2 linked regions of the Callithrix jacchus genome follow. The protein of the gene in region 2 interacts with the protein of the main gene of each other region in a biochemical or structural test. Links are inferred from orthologs where the notes say so. Each region holds a gene or a part of one and is shown on either strand. Other genes may lie near its edges.

What was found.
Region 1: the proteins of PARD3 (region 2) and JAM2 form a complex in vitro, tested with the Homo sapiens proteins (2 studies listed by BioGRID and IntAct, with this or other methods). The link is inferred for Callithrix jacchus from reciprocal best matches to the Homo sapiens genes PARD3 and JAM2.

Annotation. Positions count from the first base shown.
Region 1 is NC_133522.1:31,848,007-31,853,442, reverse strand, and holds the start of JAM2 (junctional adhesion molecule B), read right to left. Parts: upstream 3,547-5,436; 5' UTR 3,130-3,546; coding exon 3,066-3,129; intron 1-3,065. UniProt on the Homo sapiens protein: Junctional adhesion protein that mediates heterotypic cell-cell interactions with its cognate receptor JAM3 to regulate different cellular processes. Plays a role in homing and mobilization of hematopoietic stem and progenitor cells within the bone marrow.
Region 2 is NC_133508.1:34,437,587-34,443,155, reverse strand, and holds the start of PARD3 (partitioning defective 3 homolog), read left to right. Parts: upstream 1-2,159; 5' UTR 2,160-2,487; coding exon 2,488-2,607; intron 2,608-3,137; exon of another isoform or gene 3,138-3,416; intron 3,417-5,569. UniProt on the Homo sapiens protein: Adapter protein involved in asymmetrical cell division and cell polarization processes. Seems to play a central role in the formation of epithelial tight junctions. Targets the phosphatase PTEN to cell junctions.

The DNA of each region.
Region 1 (5,436 bases), on a different chromosome or scaffold from region 2:
CTTCCATCATGGGCGATCACCCTGAGCAGGCTCAATCTATGATCCAGAAAGTGGGCCCTTGCCTGACACTGAATTTGCTGGTATCTTGATTGTGAACTTCTCAGCCTCCAGAGCTGTGAGAAATAAATGTTGTTTATAAGCTACTCAGTTCATGGTATTTGGTTACAGCAGGAATGGACTAAGATACTATAGAATCAACAGGCATATATTTATCCCTGTTATTAACCAGGAACTTTGCTCAGCTCTGGATATACAGTGGTGAATAAACATCAAGAAATTCTTTTCCCAATGGAGTGGGAAAGAAAAATACAATTCAACTAAACACACAAGAAAATGTCTGTTATGTCCACAGGGATACTGACATCATAGTTCAAATAAAAAGAACAGCAACAAAAAGCAATCCTCCAGACTATTAAGAAAGATATTAAAAAATGTTGATAAACAGCAGGAAAAAAAGGAAAGAAGGGAGTAAGCATGACATTGTACATAATAGGAGTGGCCAAAAGAGTGGTCTGTTACAACTGGGAAGAATATTAAAAAGATGAATATGTAATAACAGCATAAGAAATCCACTAAGTATTTACTAAATAAAATAGTATTGGATTATAACCCAAAGTATAAAGCGAATACTCATGAGCCCATACTGATGGAAAAGTAAATGATTAAATAAATAAGTGAGGGGAAGGGAGAGACACATCTCCCATGCAGAAGAGCTCCAAATAATTTATGAAGACACTTCACCTTTGAGGAGATGGAGCATAACTCTCCTTCCTGAAGAGGTGTGGGTTGCATGTAGTGAGTTCCTTCCAAAAAATCTAGCATGGAAATGAAGAAAAAGGGGTGGGTGATCTGTGGAGAAAACTGGTATGCACTACATGATGAGTGTGATTACAGGTGATCAAGGTTCACATCAACAGCAACAAATCATGTGTACAGTATGTTCCCTGGAGATGATGTGATGAAAATGTGACTTTACCTAGGCCCCTTACCATTTTCTGATCTTCCTCCAAAAAACCTATAACCCCAGTCTAGTCATGAGAAAAATATCAGAGAAACATCAACTGATGGTCGTTCTACCAGATACTTGACCAATACTCCTCAAACCTGTCATAGTAAGAGAAAACAAGGGAAGCCTGAGAAACTGCTACAGCCAAGAGGAGCCTAAGGAACCATGACAAATAAATGTAATGTGATAGCCTGGATGGCTATTCCATATCTGGAATAGAAAAGGCATTAGGTAAGAATGGAGGAAATCTGAATGAAATGTACCATACTAATGAAAGACATTAACAATAGGGGAAAGTGGGTGTGGGGTATGTGGGAACTCTCTATACCAGCTTTGGAATTTTTCTTTAAAACCAAACTACTCTAAAATTGTTTGAAACGTTAAAAAAAAAAAAAAAACCCACACGCAAAGAAAAGAAAACACTCTTGCAATGCCAGATCTTTTGGTATCTCAGAAACAATATAGAAAAGTTCCCACAACACTTTCAAATTTATCCCCTCTAGGAATCAAGGTTAGCAGAGCCAATGTGTTATATTTACCTAAAGCCTGAAGAGCTCACTCAGGCCCATTCATCTATTCTTTTGTTTGCTTCTTGGTTGTTTCTACACTACAATTTCAAAATTAGGGTGTATTTTTTCTATGTTGGTGACTCAATAGGAATAGCACAGCAAAACGATTTTCTGTTTCTAATTAGTGACAATTCTACACTAAAAGGCACACTCTTTTCTATTTGAATTTAGGATTTCAGCAGAATACATAACTTTCTCAGATGTTCTGTTACAATTTCTCCAGCCTACCTCTCTGTTGCCTTTTAGCAGGAGCGCATTTTTTTCTCTGTGTGTTCCGTATATCAGTTGATATTTCAAAATTGCACAAGGGTTTCATTGTGAAACTCTGCCTTTCTGGTTTGACTTTATATAATATTGGTCAGCACATGTCCCTTCCCGGAGACAATGTGCACCTTCCTCCTCCACAAAGGGACGTGGCTCACATCACTTGAGCTATGCGACGATCACTTGGGCAGCCAGAATGTGAGAAAAGATCATCGTATTGTGATAGTAGACACTAGGCACTCGTCCCGCAGGTTAATTATTGTAAGTATTACATCACCAGAATGTGAATAGCTACAATAAATCATTTTACAAAAGAAAGAAAAAAGAAAGAAAGAAAGAAAAAGAAAGAAAGAAAAGCGAGCCAGCCAAAAATAGTGGGAGAAAAAAGAAAAAGCAAAAGTAGAACTGCATTGCTTAAGGTCTATTGTAATTTCTCCCATTTTCCTAAAAAGTTAACACGAAGAAAACAAAATAACGTCAATGTTCCCAGGGTTTTAAATCTCATGAGCCCAGAATCCGTGAAAATCCTGTTTAAAATCATCCGGTGAAATTGGCTTTGGGATGTCTCCCCAGCTACTGGATCATGTGGCTTCTGCATCTTTCTAACAATCGTCCCGCCGGACGTCCCCTGAGGACACAGCAGCTGGCTAGAGTCCCCAGACCAGACTTCTCTAACTGAATGTAGATGTGCAGGTGGAGAGGATAAAAGTAATTCTGGCTCAGCAGCCACGAACTCCCCACCCCCGCCCCCAAGTGCTCTGTTTAACGCCGGCTCGGCTGAGACGCTAGAGAGTCCAGACCACGCGGACGCTGTCCCCTCCCTGGACTCACAGAGCGGCCGGCGCCCGCCTCCCGGTGATGCCATCTTTCTTGGGATCTTAGCATCTTACGAGTGGGTAGTGAGTTTTGCATTCGAATCACGTCCCTCTGTCTGAAAACTTACCCCAACTTTGCAAACAGATGAGAACCCGCTAGTGGGGACCCTTAATTTTCTGTATCTAGAACTGACAAAATCAGACACAATTTACAAGAAGCCCACGACCTCGCGCTCCTGACCCTCGCGTCCGCCCTCCGGCGCCCTGGGGAGCAAAGTCAGCGCCCCGCGGCGACCTCGGCCCGGAGCGGCCCAGACACCGCGCGCGAGCGCCCCGTGGGGGGCTGGAGGCTGGGGGCAGGATGGTCCCGGCAGGAGTGGGTGCAAGGGTCGAGGAACCCCAGCAACTTACAGCCCAGGGCGACCACCAGGTAGCGCAGCAGCAGCAGAAGGAGGCGGTGGCGGCTCCTCGCCATCTTCGCGGTGCCGGAGCCGGCTGCTCAGACGACGTCGAGGGTCTCGGCGGCGGGCGCGCAGGAGGCCGGGGGCCCTCGAACTTCTGGGGTGGGAGAGGAGCAGAGAGTCGGGGAGGGGAGGAAGGAGAGGGACGGCTCTAGATGGGATGTTAGTTTCCCGCCCCCCCGGGCGCCTTCTCAGCTGGCTGCCAAGAGGCAGGTCCTCCAGCCCAGGGATGAGGGTCTGTCCTTTTCTGGGGGTGTGGGAGTGGGGGGTTGAGGGCGTGAAAACCAGGCGAAGCGTCCGCCGGGTCCTAGCGAGGGGGCAGCAGGAGGAGAGCAGCGCCCGGGAAAGCGGCCGCGGGTCGTCCCTCCGCCCCCACGCCTCCGGGATTGATCGGCTTTGTGTCTGGTCCGCGCGGGGCTGCCAGCTGTCCCTAGGGCGGGGAGCCGGGGGCGGGAGGCGCGGCAGGCTGGGGGGCGGGGTGGGGGGTTGGGTGTCTGGGGGACGGGGGTGTGTGCGGGTGAGGAAACGCCTCCTGCTTTGCCCCAACTCCTTTCTTCCCCTCCTTGGCTCAGAACTTCTTTCTGGCTTTTCAGCCCAGGGGTGGAGAAAATCGGAAAATTTCTGCCCAACGGGAGAAGCCGAGGGGGTGGCGCTCTGAGGAGATGGGGTTCGCGGGCTCCGCCTCGGACTCGAGACAAAAAAAAAGCAATCAAGACTAGTGCTGGAAGTCAGGTCTCAGATTTTAGCACAGCCTCGGTCCCTTTTCAGTTTAAGCTTTTTGCTCCTTGGAGATTTGAGGTGCGTTTATTTCGTGTTCTTTGCTTTTTTTTTTTTTTCAGTGTCAGAGTTGGAAGTTCATCTAATGGTGTGAAATATTTATCATGTTTCTTTCAAGTTACATAACTGCTGCTTGTGGAGTTTTCCACGTGTTAAAACTCTACAGCTGCCCTTTGTCAGGTTTATTTTTGGTCTACTGTGCTTTTAAAAGGGAAACCCATTATAAATGCTCTGTTGCGTGCTTTAAAATTGCACCGCACTTACATTGGATGCACGTACACTGGCAATTTTTATATTTGTTCCTAGGGACCAAAAATGTCTGGTTCATTCAAGAGTATTGGCAGGTCTGGAAAAAGGCCATTCCCAGAAGAAGAAATTGGTACACATCATTTTTTTTTCTTATGATTGAATAATGGATGAAGTTCTGTATAGAACATAGTTGATTTAGTGACGTACATATAAAGAATTCATCTAGCTCAGTGGACAAAGGCCACCAGAGTTTAGCTGTGCGGAGCTGTGAGGAATGGGGCATCCTTGCTGTTGCCGTGGTGACAATGATGAAAACTTAGTACCTAGGGAGGGGGTGGGAGGAGAGGACCCAGGGGGCCCAGAAAGGAAAGTCAGAATGGCAAAATGTTAAAACTCAAACTCCAGTCAAGCGAGGAGAAGGAACACAGATTTAACAACAGCTTATGCCAGTTTTTCTGGGCAGTAATGAGAAACATTTGATGCTTAAAAAGAAAAGTTGTTGGCATCTTCTTTTTTTCTAATTCTTGCTACTCTTTTACTCCTCCCTAAAAATATACACAAAAATGTCATACTTACAAAAAATTCTCTGCAATCCTATGTGAGTAACTGGCTAAGTTACTTGTTTGCCACCCAGCCAAGGCATTTGTCAAATGGCAACAATGTGCCAGATGCTGAAGGACAAACATGAACAAGATCGAGGCTTTCTTGCTAACAAGCTCACAGTCTTGAGGGGAGAGAGTCTTATCTGGAAAGGCGCCTGATACCACATGATAAATGTGACAGGAGGACAGAAAATAATAACAGCTATTTTTATTGCAGGCTTTCTTAGTGATGGAATCTAAATAATGCAATATCTAATTCCCCCAAGAGCTCTGTAAAAGAGGAACTGTTATCATTCCCACTTTACAGATGAGAAAACTGGGCTGAGAGATGCTAAATGGCTTGTCTGAGGTCCATGATAAGAGGATGTTCCTTCTGTTGGGAGTGGGGGCACAGCTTTCTTTAATAAACCTCAAAGAGTAGGTCAAACATAGAGGAAACAGCAGGATCAAGAGCTGGAAGATAAAAAAATTATGGCTGGCTTAGAAAAAGCAAGGTTCTACCGTATTACAGTATATGTGGGAATGGGATGGTAAGGTAGATGGTGATGGTAGAAAATACAGAGGAGGTTAAATTATGAAGGTGATTCATACTACTGTCTAGACCTCATCCTACAGCTAATGAACTTTTTGAAAGCAATGAGATAAGAAAAGACCCATATTTTAGAACCGTGGTGTCTAGATCCAAGTAGGTAT
Region 2 (5,569 bases):
GATGTACTCCGGTTACTACTAAAAATGACTTTTGATTATAATTATTTTCAGAAAGCCCCACTCTAAAATTATTATACTCAAACTAGTGTACTCTCTGAACTAGTAGAGCATATAAACTAGTAAACATTCTCTGCCAGGGGTGGTGACTCACGCCTGTAATCCCAGCACTTTGGGAGGCTGACCACTTGAGGTCAGGAGTTAGAGACCAGCCTGGCCAACATGGTGAAATCCCGTCTCTACTAAAAATACGAAAATTAACTAGGTGTGGTGGCAGGCACCTGTAATCTCAGCTACTTGGGAGGTGAGGCAGGAGAACCACTTGAACCCAGAAGGTGGAGGTTGCAGTAAGCCACGATCATGCCACTGCTCTCCAGCCTTGGCAATAGAGTGAGACTTGGTTTCAATAAGAAAAAAAATAAAATAAATAAAACAAAACAAAATAAACTAGTATACACTCTAAACTAGTAGTATGCTCCCCCATACATGAAAACAGAAACACCACCTATAATTATGAGTAATTGTTGTTGTGAATCCAAGTATCTATGTAAAAAGCAAAAACCCCACAGCCACAGTTGTTGTCATCGTTGTCGCAAATTTAATTACTGGGTAGAAATGTCGAGTGCCGCAGCCAAACAGCAGTAGGAGGAGCCTTTCCCATGGCGGAGGGGAAGGAGGGAAACCTAGACTCTATTTCTGGGTCTGCCTCGAGCTTTCTCTGCCGCCTTGGGCAAGTGACTTCAGTTCTTGGTCAATGTCCTGGATTAAGATGGGGCTAACGCCACTGCACTGATTTGCTAGGACAGGTGGTGGAATGTGGGGGGTCGGGGCTGGGAGAGGAGAGGAAGGGCAATATTTCCTAGGAGAAACTGCACTGTAGCTGGGGCAGCTGTGGTGCTGCCAAGCGCAGCGAGTGTGGCAAGCGGACGAACCTCTTGTCTTGTTACCTTGTTTTAAAATTGGAGGTGGAGTGGGATGGATGGTCGATATGCAGCTCTCCCAGCTCTAAGTGCCCAAGTTCTGGGAGCTTGATTGCTTTCACGTCCCTTGGAAACAACTGGCAAAAATGAATTTCACACAGTCTGGTACCAGCTTACCATCTCCGGCACTCTTTGCTGACATTTGCCATTCTTTAAACACAATGACATACGTTTATTAAGGAATCACAGTCCATAACTAAGACAAAGTGAGCTTGAGTTACGTTCCCTAACTCGGTCCACGTTCCTTTAAAACGTCTCAAGTCGCATGTCACTCATCGCGGAGTCGCAGCCTTCCCCGGGGTTCAGGCGTCCGCATTAAGCGCAGGCACAGCGTGGGGATCCCCGCGTGCGGTTTTCCCGCGGCGTCGGAATAGACTGCTTTCGGATTCGCGTTGGGATTGCTTATGCTGCATAATTTCAAAGAAATAAATGTATCAGAATTGCGATGCTTAAGGTCTAATCTATTTAAGCGGGTGGGTCAGCAGCGGGTCAACGGGAAACTTCAAGGTAAATAGTGGCCTCGGCAAAAGGCCGGGTCGCTCACAGCTTCCCCACCGCCTCCCCAGAGCAGACGATTAATTTTTGTGTTTCAGGCAAACCCGCCGCTGCCCGGCCCTGCAGCCTAGCTGGGGAGCGACGGCGGCAGAAACCTGGCGGAGCGAGCGGCGGGCTCGGGTCCCGGCTGGCCGAGGGGCTCGGGCTGGAGTCTGCGGGGCGGTGGAGGGTACTCGCCGCGCTGGGCACAAACTGCTTTCACCCGCAGCGTCTGCACCCGAACCCTCTAGTCCGAGGAAGGGGATTAAAAGTGACAAAGGAAGGAGAAGGGGGGCTCCGTGGAGACACGTCTGGAGGCGTGGAAGGGGCGTCTAGGAGGAGGGGTGAGCACAGCCCCGCAGGGTGCTGGGCGGACGGGTGAAGGGGGCTGGGGGCTCCCGGGCCGGAGCTGGTGGGGGCCCACGGCAACTTGCGCGGGCTGGCTGTGGGGCGAGGGGTCCCGCGCCCCCGGAGGGAGGCGGGAGGCCTGCGGCGGGGGCGCGGGCGGCCGTCGTGCGCTCCGCCCAGAGCGGGGAGCCGGTCGCGCCTCCCCCTGCCGCATGTGCGCGGTGTTGTGTGCCCGGCCCTGCTCCTCCCCCTCCCCTCTCCTCCCCTCTCCTCCCCTTCCCTCGCTCCGTCCCCTCCCCCAGCGGCCCCGAGCGAGCGCCAGCGCCACACAGCCCCGGGCCGCCGCCGCTGAGCGCGCCGAGACGCCGAACAGGTGGCCGGAGGCTGCGGGCGCCGCGGCGGGGAGAGGCGAGGCGAGCCCCGGGCGAAGCGAGGCGAGGCGAGGGCGGCCGGGTCGGGCCCGGCATGCGAGCCGAGCGGTCCCCCGGCGTCACCGCCGCCTGCCCGCTCCCCTAGCCGCCTGCGCGCCCGAGTACCCCGCGGCTCCCCCGCTCCTAGCGTCCCCGACCCGGCAGCTCCGCCTGCGCTCGGCGAGGGGCGCGGGCCTGCCCGCGGCGGCGGCGGCGGCATGAAAGTGACCGTGTGCTTCGGACGGACCCGGGTGGTCGTGCCGTGCGGGGACGGCCACATGAAAGTTTTTAGCCTCATCCAGCAGGCGGTGACCCGCTACCGGAAGGCCATCGCCAAGGTGAGGGGCCGAGGGCACGGGCGGGGAGGGGGGCGGCGGCGGGGACGGCGCCGGGATCAATATGGCGCTTCCTGGAAGGGGGAGGAGAGGCACAGGGAGGCGGGGAAAGGGAAAGTGCGGCCGGGCCGGCCTCGCGGGCGCCCCCCGCCCGGGGCTGCGGGCGCCAAAGTTCTCCGCGCGGGCTGGGGCGCAGCCTCGGGAGCACCGCGCCGCGGCCCCCGCCGCCCCCCGGGAGCTCCGGTCTCGGGAGCGCGGGGCGAGCCGGGCGGCGGCGCACAGGCCAGCCCCGGGCGCCTCCCCGGAGTCTGCAGACCCAGCCAAGCCCCGAAAAGGCGCGCGGGGGGCGGGGGCCGGGAAATCCAGCCCCAGGCCTCTCCCGGCTCCCAGGCCCCGCGGGCACCGACCGGGGACTGGGAACTTCTGGTGTGAGGAGAGTTTCGGGACTGCTCTCCCAACAGAGGCGGGCTGCGAGCTTTCCATCTCCTCTCCCTTTCTCGGGCGGGGGCGGGACCACCGCGGGGGGCTTTTACCTCTGCGTCCCGGGCGGGCCGGGACGGCCGGCCTCGTCCGGGGGCTGCAGGGTTGGGGGAGTCTCTCGCTTGGGGTCCGGGAGGCGTTCCCGGGAGGGCCGCTGCTGGCACTGGCTTGAGAGCATTTACTGTGCTGATCCCCCTTGCTGGGCTCGGTAAAGCACAGCCTCGGCACAGTCGCGGAATGAAAAGTTTTCCTGCGAGGACCTCAGCTCCTACCCATCCCGGGCTGCTTCCATGCGGAGGGCTGTGGAGCCGGGCCTGACTCGGGAGTCGAGTGGATTTCCCTTTTTCCTGCTGGAGTGATAACATTGTCTCCACTTCACTGCATTCCTCTACTATGTGTCAGAAGTGAAAAGACATTTTGTTACATTGTTTTACCGACTGGGTCTGTATTTGACAACAGCCCACGCTGAAGTTTCTCTCAAGCACCCGAGGATATTTCCTTTGTCGTAGAGTCCTGTTTGGTGGGGAGCACATTCTCTTGGGTGCACTGTTTCCTATTTGTTCCCGACAGTGGCCTGGCGCCTGTGGGCTTGGGGGCTGCAGATGACATTGGAAAGTGTCTTGGCCAGCCCTATTGAGCGTACACCGGGTGCTCTGGGTGTCATCTTCAGTGATCTCAGAAATTAAGAAGAAAACGCTTTTTAGACTGCTGTTTTGCTTTCAATATATATTGGAAAAAATAGCATAAATGTGGCCTTTCAAACATAATTTGGGGGAACGTTTAGGAACCTGACTTAAGGCTGGAAGACATTGGCTTTAATAGTTCTGCTATGTTCCTTACAGTTGGTTGAACTCTTTTATTGAAAATCAAATAAAATTAGTGGGAATTGGACACCTGTTTATCTTGCAAAGCTGAGAGGGAAAGAAAACCATCTAAATGGACATTGAGCATTTTTAATGATTGTTTATGTGTGACAGTTTATGCTTTAAATGTTCCAAAAGAATACTCAAATTGTTCAGGTGCTCTGGAACCCAACAAAATAAATCGTGCAAGGAAAGAAATAAAATAATACACACTCTGTACTATGTCTTGGTTCCTGAAAAGGTAGGATGATTGAAGTTTCCTTTCCCTTTACTAATTTTATGTGATTAAAATTGTTTTACCTACTATGTCTCACGTTTCATCATGTACAAAATAGACATAGGCTGAACTGGCTGTTTGACAGTAGTTCAAATGTGGTTGTTTGAGGCATTAACTCGTTCCACAGAAATTCTTAAGCTTTGACTATGTCCAAGGCACTGTTCTGGGTGCTGGACATCTAGGGGACCCACTGGCTGTGAGAGTCTGAGCACGAGGCTGCGAGGTCCTCCAGGTGAAGGGGCTGGTGGTGGGAGAAGAGGTGGCCTCTGGGATGCTGGCGGACTAGATCAGGGCCTACCTGGCCCTTGTTATTAATGATTAGCAGTGGTGGTTTCACAAGGACCTAGGGCATAGAAAAGGGAGTGCAGATTTCTTAAGGGTATCTGGGCAGGTGTCACAAGGAGAAAAGCGGGGCCTATGAGCTGAAGGAAGGGAGGGTGTTAGTGATATGGGAGTTGAGAGGGAGGGTGAGAGGTAGTTCAGGGGTTCCAACACTTACATGCTCTTTAAGTACAACTTAGAGTTCTGTAGGTGAATTTGAACGGGGGCTTTGCAGTAGACCAAGTTCAGTCATTAGATCAGGACTGTTGACCCTCAGATGTTGCTAGAACTCAGGGGTCTTCTGGGCCCCTTTCTCCTTTTTCTTCTGAAATTGCTAGATAATGATTAAGATTAATTTTTAGTCTTTCCCATTCTATATTATGTGTGAGAAAGTGTTAATATGTATTTAACATTTTTTTTTTTTTTGAGACAGAGTTTTGCTCTTGTTACCCAGGCTGGAGTGCAATGGCGCAATCTCGGCTCACCGCAACCTCTGCCTCCTGGGTTCAGGCAATTCTCCTGCCTCAGCCTCCCGAGTAGCCGGGATTACAGGCATGCGCCACCACGCCCAGCTAATTTTTTTGTATTTTTGGTAGAGACGGGGTTTCACCATGTTGACCGGGATGGTATCGATGTCTTGACCTCCATCCACCCGCCTCGGCCTCCCAAAGTGCTGGGATTACAGGCTTGAGCCACCGCGCCCGGCCCTATGTATTTAACATTGTTTTAACTTTTATTCTCTTACCTGTTCCTTACGTACTCCTGTTGCTTAACAGAACAAGACAAATTCTGTGTGGAGAACTGGGTGGCTGGAGAGCTGTGGAGCAGTGTTTGGGTTGCTAGGTGACATGTGGTGTGATGAACTCCCATCTGGTGGGGAAACGTGGGCAGATCATGTTTATGGCTTTGTATAATAACCAACCAAGCCAAAATAAAAAATGAAAAGAGACAGGTCCCAACTCCCAAATCACCAAGGCTTTCTCTGCAGTAAACATTTTCTGGTGTGGTGGGGCTAATTTTCTGG